Linked DNA regions of Arabidopsis thaliana. The protein of the gene in region 1 interacts with the protein of each later gene in a pairwise test. Each region holds a gene or a part of one and is shown in the gene's direction. Other genes may lie near its edges.

Region 1 (5,588 bases):
TATTTTCGTTGTTGGTTTGATTGAATAAGTTGCCAAATGATGATTGAAAATTTTGCGCAAGGGTTTTGAGTTTCGGATGATTGGAGTTTACTCTGGTCTGAAGGAACCGTGACAAAATTATTTTCTAATAATTCATTCTGATGGCAGCTCAATCATTGTTAGATATATCAAATTTCAATTCGAGTTTTGGGTGCATGGTTTGATTCGGATGGTTAATTGTAGTTTGTTTTGTTAGTAGAAGCTTGGTTTTGGGGCAGCTTAATGAATTTTAGGATTCAAGTTTTCAAATCATTTAGCCTATAATGTTCTGAAATGTGTTGTGTAATGGCTTTGATTTCCTGAGGATCTGACTATAGAATGTTTAAAATCCTGAGGAACGGTGGGAAATCATGTATTTGTGTTTCTTTTTTTTTTTAAGATTCAGGTTCTACAAATTATGCTTAAAGGGCTTTGAGCTCCTGACCGCTTGTATTATGAGATCCAAGAAAATGTGAAAAGTCGTTTTTTTTTCCTTTCCCATTTTGATGGTTTGGGTTGCATTTTACTGTTCTTTTAGTTATCATGACTATGCTAGATTCTGGTCTGGACATAAGTTGCTTAAGATGTGTGGAAATTATGCGTAATGGATTTAGAATTGGCAATTTGTTATTTGAAGGAATTCACTTCTATAGATATCCTTTAATGGCACCCGTTCATGGTCAGCTCCAAATATGCAAGAAATCGGAAAATGCATTAGTGTAGTCCTCTTTTCTGGTATATTGTCAATACTCAAATCTTACATAAACTTTGTTTCAAGGACAATGAAGCATGTGGTCAAGATTTTGAGCCTGCTGGTAGCTGTCTCTGCCTTTTAGTTTGCTCTCTTGCAGGCTGCAATTATGGCTCGTAGCCAAACATAGTTGGTTAGTAATGAGTCTGTTGTGCTCATTTTTGCTTATTGCTATTCTCAGTTAGTCAATATTAATAATGTATATCTTTGCACCAGCTACCTATATACGTTGTAGTGTCCTTTGCTATTAATTGTTGGAATCGGTTTAGTGCAGTTCCCTACCTCTCCTAAAGAAGCAGTTTTTCTGCAGCGGGTACTTTCAGTACTCTTTTCTTTCTTTGTTAACTCGAATTGTTAATTAAGGTTAAATTAAGTTCTTGACTAGTGCTTTTGCTCCTAGCTGTTGTTAATGTTGATTATGTACTAGTTTGTTTTGGTGCTATTGTTATATTGCAGGATATTGCAGATGCAAAAAGACTTCTTAAGCGCTAACGGAATTGATGTTGGATCGGATTTGACACATTATGGTTTACTTCTTTTCAACTCCCTAACCAGTGTAATAGAATACTTGGAGTCTTCGATGGTTCATAGAAAGAGTTCCCATTTTCATTATGTACAGTCGTTTACTATGTTTTTTTGAGAGATGTACATTGAGAAACCGGTGTTTGCAATTGGATTTTGTTTTGGGGTTTTAAACATGATGAAGAACAATGTTATTCTGATAAGTTCACTTTAATTGACTTTTTTTTTTGGAATATCGTTTGTTACATTTTTTCTCGTGTATACAATAAGTTGTGAATCCAACTCTTTCAAGTTTAAACTACTTGAGATTAACTTAAATGCTCCAATAAAATTGATTGAATTGGATTTTCTAGTTTTGTTTGTTTTGAAGTAAAAAGTTGGACTTGAATGCTGATAAGTGATAATAAATTGACTTGCAACCATAACTGAACCAATCTAACAACATGTAACTATTCCAAGTTTATTATAAGCTAGATTTCTGAAATGGAAATGTCGTTTTAATTTTACATTTTTGCCGAGATGGTTAAAACTGGTAATCATATACATTACAATTTGGTTAAATGACCAAATCTATTTGATAACAAAGAGAGATATAAGTTAATGAAACCATGATTAGACAAATCGACAAGCAAAGAAAACGTTAAGCAAAAAACACTAATCATAATAAGCAAAAAGTCCATCCATGTTCATCACATGTACAAAGATCCTCTCTGTCACTCTAGACTTTTCCTCTGTTTGCTTCTTCTTACAAAATGACACACTTAAACCAAATAAAGAAAACATTTCCCCCAATCTTTATACATTTTCTTTTGAATTAAAGAAAAAAATAAAAGTGATAAAAGAAGAAGAAGAAGTCCCCAGCTAGCTCCTTAAAGAAGCACATCTCTTTACTCATTTCACGATTCCCCTGTCTCTTGTTTCTCTCTCACTTACCTCTTCTCGAGTTTTCTCCCATTCTTGGGTCTTCATCGAGACCAAATCCGGAGAAAGTTGATGTTTTTACAGCACAAACAGACACAGACACATACATGTGTTGTGTCTCCCTAATCCCATTATTACTAACTCGCATCCAATTCACACTTCTCTCCTAAATTCCCATCCTTTTCAGATCCAAAACACTCTCCTCCAAAACCCAGATTGCCAAATTAGGGAATTTGACACAAAACCCATCTGAGAGCATAATCAAGAGATAGAGAGACAATGGGAGTGATATTGGACTCATGGTGCTTTTGTAAAGGAGTTGGCAAAAGCGAGAAGATGAAAGGTTCCATTTTTACCGGCAAAGCTCCGGCGATGGCTCGAATCTCTGTCTCCGGACCAAATGGTGTTACTTCTGGAACTGGATTCCTCATTCACCGGAATCTTCTTCTGACCACTCACCTCAATCTTCCTTCCATCTCCGCCACCGAAACCGCCGAGGTCCGCCTTCAGAACGGTGTCGCTGCTGCTCTCTTCCCTCACAGGTCCCACCTCTCTCTTTACTCTCTCTTGAGTTTGATTCAAAATTTGATTTTTCATTTTCCTGTGTTGTCGGTTGCACGATCCTGGTAAATTTTGATGCAATGCCATCAAAAAAATTGGCTCTTGTTCAAATTTTCAAAAATGAATCCATATCTTTTCGTCAAACCAAAAGAACTTAAAAGAAAAGAGCTTTATACTGTACTTATGTTATATGGTAATGATTCTGGATCTGTAGCTGAATTTGGTAAGTTTTCATTTTAATTTCATAAACTTTAAACCAAAACATTGATATATCATTTTGTGATTATTGGAACATGAAAATTCATTTGTTCAGATATTTCCCAAAATGGAAACGTCTTGATTGCATCAAACATAATAAGAACCAATCTGAATTGTGGATTTGTTTGGTCAATGATGGTGTTTTCTGTTCTTTAGCTATCAGAAAATGAGTGTTATCTTTATATGGTGTCATTTGCAGGTTTTTCATTACGAGTTCAGTTATTGATCTCACTATTGTTGGCTTAGACCTTGTTGATGGAGACTCAAGTTCCCAGAGCCAACTTCAACAACAACCACATTACCTGAAGACATGTTCCAAACCAAACCTGGATCTAGGGAGTGTGGTGTACCTCTTAGGCTATGCCAATCAGAATGAACTCAAGATCGGCGAGGGAAAGTTAGTTGTAGCTACCGACAATCTCATCAAACTCTCAACTGATGAAATGATTTGGAGTCCTGGATCTGCTGGATTTGATGTTCAAGGGAATCTTGCATTCATGATTTGTGATCCGAGGAAACTATCGACATCACCAACCTCAACCTCGTCATCTTCCTCTTCTTCTTTGAAGAAAGATAACAACAAGACACTGATGATGCAGTTTGGTATACCAATACCAGTAATATGTGACTGGCTGAATCAGCATTGGGAAGGTAGTTTGGATGAACATACGACGAAACCTAAGTTGCCTCTCATTCGATTAATGTCTTCTGGTCAGAAGAGTGAGCGTTCTTGTACTTCATTCACCATGCGCCGTGTTTTCAAGCCAAACGACTCTGCTGATGTTGGAACACCATCTTCATCTAACACTAGAGATCAAACTCATCCGAGCTCTTCTATCGCTGCTGAGGAAGAAAAAGAAGAAGAAACCTCAAAAACCAATCCACAAGTCTGCGGAACTACTACTCATGCGCAGGGTATCCCTACCCCTGAGATATATGAATCGCCAAAGTTGACTTCTGGTCCTCTAAGAAATGAGACAGCTCAAGTACACCTTTTGGACATCAACTTTCCTCCACGGATACCTAAAGCTATAACCTTTCATCCTGAGCTCAACTCTCTACAGAGTAACCATATAGTGGAAGAGGCTGAGATTGTCTCTGAAGGATCAGATGCGCAGATTGCTTCGACAGGTTCAGTAAATGGTGCTCTCAGTGAGGTCATCTCAAGTTCACCGCCAGCAGCAGCTCACTATGTATATAACAATCATGGATACAGCAGCGAGGAAGAGACAATGTATTCTGCAGAAACAGCAGAAAGCCGAAACTACCCAACTCCTCCAAGAAAAAGCGAGTTTCATCATGAGAGAGTTGGAAGGAGTCAAAGCTGTGTGAGCTCCAGCAGATGGGGAACTCCTCAGAAGAGTTTGAATGGTAGAAGAGAAATGCTGGAGAAACAGAGAAGCTTCGTCCATGGGAAGAAGATGCATTCACAAGGAGCAATGTCACAGAGGAGTAATGACTATTACAGCCCAACGGTCTCATCTATCATGAAGAAAAGGATTAATAGTTCAGAGCAACAGATTATCAAACCGGTACCTAGACCTAGAGCTGTTAGTTCTTCACCAAGATGGGCGTTCTAAGGTCGATACAGACCGGAGAAAGAGCCACCTTCATAGAAAGAGAGACATCTTTGTTTAGATTTCGATATCTCTCATTCTTGTATAACCAATTTTATTTTAACTCTTGTGCAGACATATTGAAGAAAACAACAAATAGGAAACATAGAATCTTGAATCGATCGGGTTTAAGCCCTTAAAGCAATCATTGATTTTGAGTTCCTGGAAGTAAAAAAGTATTTTCGTTTTTGCTATCAGAACATAGATTGGGCCATGACTGTTGGATGTGTTCTTTGATCTGCACAGCAATGATTTCATGGGAATGATACCAAAAGAATAATCTTTTCATAAGAGGTAACTGTGGACCAACAGAAAAATGTGCAGATGCCATTACTGCCTTCTAGTGAACTTGAGAGAGAACATGCATACAGAGGCTTATGAGTTATGATGTAGAATGCTTTTTCTTAAGATTCAACAATATCTCCTAAAATATCTCAACAATCACTAAGCAATAAGGAACTACTCAAATAATGAAGATCACCAATGAACGATATCCATTAGAAAATCAGGTCTTCCATAATTCCTAGATATTTCTCTTACAAAACAGAACAATATTGACATAACAAACTACAACTAATGAACAACATTTCTTCATCGTTGGAGGTAGAATCGCTAGACCACTATCCCTGCAAGAGAAGAGAAAGAAAAGGATCTGAACGGCGCAATTTTTAGAATTCAGCAGAAAAAAACAAATCTCATTAGCTAGACTTACATGGCTACTAGTGATGTTTCTGTATCATTCATCTGGTGGTTGGAAGGAAGACCCGGATAAGGTCCTTAACAGTGATTTTTTTCCTACATGTCGGGCATTTAGCTTGGAGGGATAACGCATTCTTTATGCACTTTTTGCAGAAAATATGACCACATTTCGTTGAAACCTCCTGAGTAAATGGACACAGACAGATTGGACAGCTAAATTTTGGTTCCTCTACAGGAGGAGC
Region 2 (4,254 bases), on another chromosome or scaffold:
TTGATTTCTCTATTGCAGAATAGAGCTGATATTATAGGAGCTAAGCCTAAAGCAGACAGTGTTGGTACCATGCAATTGCCTAAACTTCAGCAAATGCCTGAGGCTACAGGAACATCAGTTTTGGAGTCTAACAAAGAGCAGTTTATTGTATTGGTAAGTGTTTTACTACGAGTGTGATATCTCATCTTTTCTATCCACGTACTTTCCTTACTTGCTTATAACAAATCCTGACCATATGTGTTCTCTTTGATTACTATTGCAGGCTAGAGCTGATCCTGTAGGAGAAAAGCGTAAAGCAGAGGATATTCAAACTGGTTTGAACGAAGATCTTCAAGTGAAAAGGCCGAAAGCAAAAGAATCAGAAGCAAAGGCGATGTCTTTGGAAACCGGAGAAATAGTCTCTTCGAAGGTTCCTTGTTCAGGGAAACTTGGCAGTGGAAAGAAAGCAGAAGGTAAGCTAAGAACTAACCAGAAGTTTTGGTGTGAGATTTGTAAAGTTGGGACCTATTGTCAAATAGTCATGAGGGATCATGAGTTAGGTAAAAAGCATAAGGCTGCTGTTACACAACAGAATGAGACACCTGAAGCTGCTTCAACCTCCTTATCCCCTGCTTCCGTTACAGCACCGCAACCAGAAGCCATTAGAGTATGTGAAAATGCTAATCCGCAGGGTCAAAAAGTAGATGAAATTGCGGCGAAAGAAACAACGGGAAAGAAGACAAAAGGTGAGAAGAAAAAGAAGGAAACGGTTTGGTGCAAAACTTGTAATATTCAGACGAATTCTGAGCAGACGATGAGGAATCATACGCTTGGGAAAAAACACATGGCTTTGCTTGAGAAACAGCAGAATAAACTCATTACAGTCCCAGTGAGATCTCTGAATGCTGATCCAGGACAGAAAGAATCAGTATCTCTAGCAATGGATGATACACAAGGTAAGGTTCATTGCTTGGAGAAGTCATAGAAGATTCTTTGTAACTTTGTTAGATTATTTTATATCAACTTTTTTTACCAAAAAAACCTTTGTTAGGTCATGACAATATACCATGAGGAATCAGAGATTGAATTCATGAATTTATTTTTATTTTTTCTTATGCAATGTGACAGTAGGAGATTTGCATGATGTTTTTTTTGTTGTGAGATTGAGAATCATGAGAATAATAACCAATGCCATTAGAGAGACCAGAATAAGTGTATAGATCATGATTGCATTTTGGAGTGTGTGTTGTCTTATGCTTTTATCATATGTTTTACAAACTTACAACTGTACAAGCAGAGTATGTTTGTTTGGACATGATACGATGATAAATGTCTTCTTTCAGGAGAGGCCCAAAATGGTTTGCCTAGAGGTATTTCAAATGTTTGGGGTGAGTCTCTCTATACATAGAGGGTATATAGACAACTCCACAATCAATCAATAGTTCTTCTCGCAATACAGCTCCACAAGACCACAACACATATGACCATGTCCCATACATAGAACCACGAAAGATGGTTCTATTGTAGCATGTTTTTTTTTTTTTTTGGTTTAATGAAGCATGTTACAATCTCTGATAAAGTTTCATCTATACTAGAAATTGAATTTTTCGAAAATCGAATCAATATCTGATGTAAGAACATTTTACGTTTGATCACTCAATTTCGTACTGAAAGTGTATAAACTTTAAAGTTGCGACTTCTTCACTAGAAAAGAATGGTACAAAAACAATCTAAGCTCAAAAAAAGAGTTAAAGTGACGTGGCGCAAAATCATTGGTTAAAAGCTTCAACAAACACAGAAGCTACGAACAAGTTGCCCGGAAAAAATTAGCTTCCGGTTTTATCTTCTCGAATTTCAGAAAAAAAGCCCTTCTCTAATATCTCTCTACTCGTACAACAATGGCGTCGATGGCTGCAACCACCAATTTCACCAAATCTATGCTCTTTCCATTCTCTCATGGTTAGTCTCTCCTAAATCCCTACTTCTATCTCTCGCTTAAGGTTTCGTGACACTGGATTTTGAGTCTTTATGTATCTGTCGTACATTAGGTTTCATCTGAATTTGCTTAATCTTTCGTAATTAGACTTTTCTATTCCATAATTGGAGGAATTGAAGCGTAATTTTGTATTTATAAGTGTTTTTGGGATTGAAATGGGCTTTAGTAATTTTTTGGTTTGAATAGTTTCAGGAAATGCGAGCTTGAATTCGCAGAGAAGAACATGGCCAAAGCAGTACAAGTCTAAAAATGGTTACAGGTCTCTTCGAGTGAATGGATTATTTGGAGGTGGAAACAAAGATAATAACAGTGAAGATGGACAATCAAAGGTTGGTACATTACATTGGTTTTTTCAAATATCAAACAGATTCTGCAATAGGTGAACATTTTAAGTTAGGCTTCATGTTGTAAAGATTCAAAGTTTATGATTTTGGAACTAATGAAGTTTGTGTGTGATCTTTCCTAGGCAGGAATATTTGGTAATATGCAGAATATGTATGAGACTGTGAAGAAAGCTCAAATGGTTGTTCAAGTGGAAGCTGTACGTGTTCAAAAAGAGTTAGCTGCGTAAGTCCGGCACATTTATCATACAAAATTTGAGGAAGTTTTCTTCTATGAGTAATGAGTTTTGCATGTTGGTTTTGTTCCAATTTCGCAGCGCAGAATTTGATGGTTATTGTGCAGGCGAGCTTGTCAAGGTCAGTTTAGAGCTTGTTTTGGCCTTAAGATAGATCAATGCACATAATAGATCAGTGAAGTATTAACTAACGTTTACTTGATGATGTAAGAACTGTGTTTTCTGATTTGTTAGTCTTTGGATGATTTGGCAAGAACTCCACTCTAGAATCTCAAAACTTTGTTTAGTCTTTATTGTTTCTGTTACAAAGTCTGATGACCTAAACCTTATGAATTTGTGTCAGGTTACGTTATCAGGTAACCAGCAACCAATCCGTACTGATATTACCGAGGCAGCAATGGAACTAGGTTCCGAAGTGAGTAACCATACGTACCTTGTTATGGAACAGTCAAAGCTAATTCATCAGTTTCTCTTGTTGATGTTGTGTGTTTTCCTTTGGCAGAAACTATCACAACTTGTCACAGAAGCATACAAGGACGCACACGCCAAGAGTGTGGTGGTATAGCAATTTGCAGACCATTTATCACAATGCAACTAAAGTATTTGTTTCTATCCATTTCTTCTAATTGAACTTTGTGAATTTTTTCACAGGCTATGAAAGAGAGAATGAGTGACCTTGCGCAGAGCTTAGGAATGCCACCGGGTCTCAGCGAAGGAATGAAGTAAGAAGCTGTTTTTGTTGTTTCATTTCAACTTTCAGGTATGAGAGGTTCGGCTTTTTTTGTTTGTTTGTATATCAGTCAGGCAGAAGCAAAGAGCTTTGTACTCTACTCTTATGGAATTATATATAAAAGATTTGAAACTTTTGGTTTTCTGCAATTTTATTCCCAAGGTATCAACACAATTGTTCTAGTATCAACATATATCTTCTTCGAATACAAGAATGCTTTTAGTGTCTTATGAAATCAAGTTGATTTGAAACATAAAAATTTCAAAAGAAAACACCGAGTTAACTCGGGTTTTGGAGGGAGCCTTCTATCTTATGTGTGTGACTAATAAGATCTTGGAAGCTCTTTGCCGGCCAAGAACGATCTTAAAAGAGTGAGAGCACGCTCGGGTTGCAACACCGGCACTTCGTGGCCCGCCCCTCTTATCGTCGCAAAGGTAAGCCCCTCATATACCTCTGTCCATCCTCCCACCTGACACCACCACCATGAGAAATCACTAGCTCTGCATAATAAGAATAGAACCACGAATTTGATGAAAATTACCTGCTTTTCGGAGTACCAAGGGTACCAGGGAGTTTTCACCGGAAGATTGAGTTTACTGAGGGCAAGTCGAGTCCCAGTCACTGGAACCACTGCGTCTGTATCGCCACTACATCAACAAAATGTGGTTAAAGGACACGAAAGGTACTTTACTTGCAGCTAGTTTCATGGTTTACCTAAAGACCCAGATCCTCAAACCAGCGGCAGTGAGTTCCTTGTATATCGGCAACATTGAAAACTCGGAATCTTTCCAGTTGTTATTCACAACCATATTGCACAATGTCCACTTATAAGGAATGGAGGTAAGATTAGCGTGCATAGCTCGTTGCACATCAGGACGGTTGTAATATATCTCAGCGTAGCTTTCGGTACAAGGGTCGTACTCGTATTCCTCTACCAAAAGCCGTCCATGCAGGAACTTGGTCTGGTTGGTT

What was found.
Region 2: the proteins of AT3G07210 (region 1) and AT2G24020 interact in a two-hybrid assay, tested with the Arabidopsis thaliana proteins (one large-scale study listed by BioGRID).

The regions. Positions count from the first base shown.
Region 1 is NC_003074.8:2,292,023-2,297,610, reverse strand, and holds AT3G07210 (uncharacterized protein), read left to right. Parts: upstream 1-1,930; 5' UTR 1,931-2,491; coding exon 2,492-2,754; intron 2,755-3,230; coding exon 3,231-4,611; 3' UTR 4,612-4,858; downstream 4,859-5,588. Other genes in the region: AT3G07200 (RING/U-box superfamily protein), read right to left, coding at 5,388-5,588.
Region 2 is NC_003071.7:10,216,893-10,221,146, reverse strand, and holds AT2G24020 (Putative BCR, YbaB family COG0718), read left to right. Parts: upstream 1-1,678; 5' UTR 1,679-1,877; coding exon 1,878-1,938; intron 1,939-2,161; coding exon 2,162-2,304; intron 2,305-2,441; coding exon 2,442-2,542; intron 2,543-2,633; coding exon 2,634-2,673; intron 2,674-2,895; coding exon 2,896-2,967; intron 2,968-3,054; coding exon 3,055-3,111; intron 3,112-3,203; coding exon 3,204-3,278; 3' UTR 3,279-3,446; downstream 3,447-4,254. Other genes in the region: AT2G24030 (zinc ion binding / nucleic acid binding protein), read left to right, coding at 19-153, 263-964; scpl23 (serine carboxypeptidase-like 23), read right to left, coding at 3,605-3,751, 3,824-3,929, 3,997-4,254. UniProt on the Arabidopsis thaliana protein: Participates with ALB4 in thylakoid protein targeting. May function with specific subset of thylakoidal proteins. Binds to DNA and alters its conformation. May be involved in regulation of gene expression, nucleoid organization and DNA protection.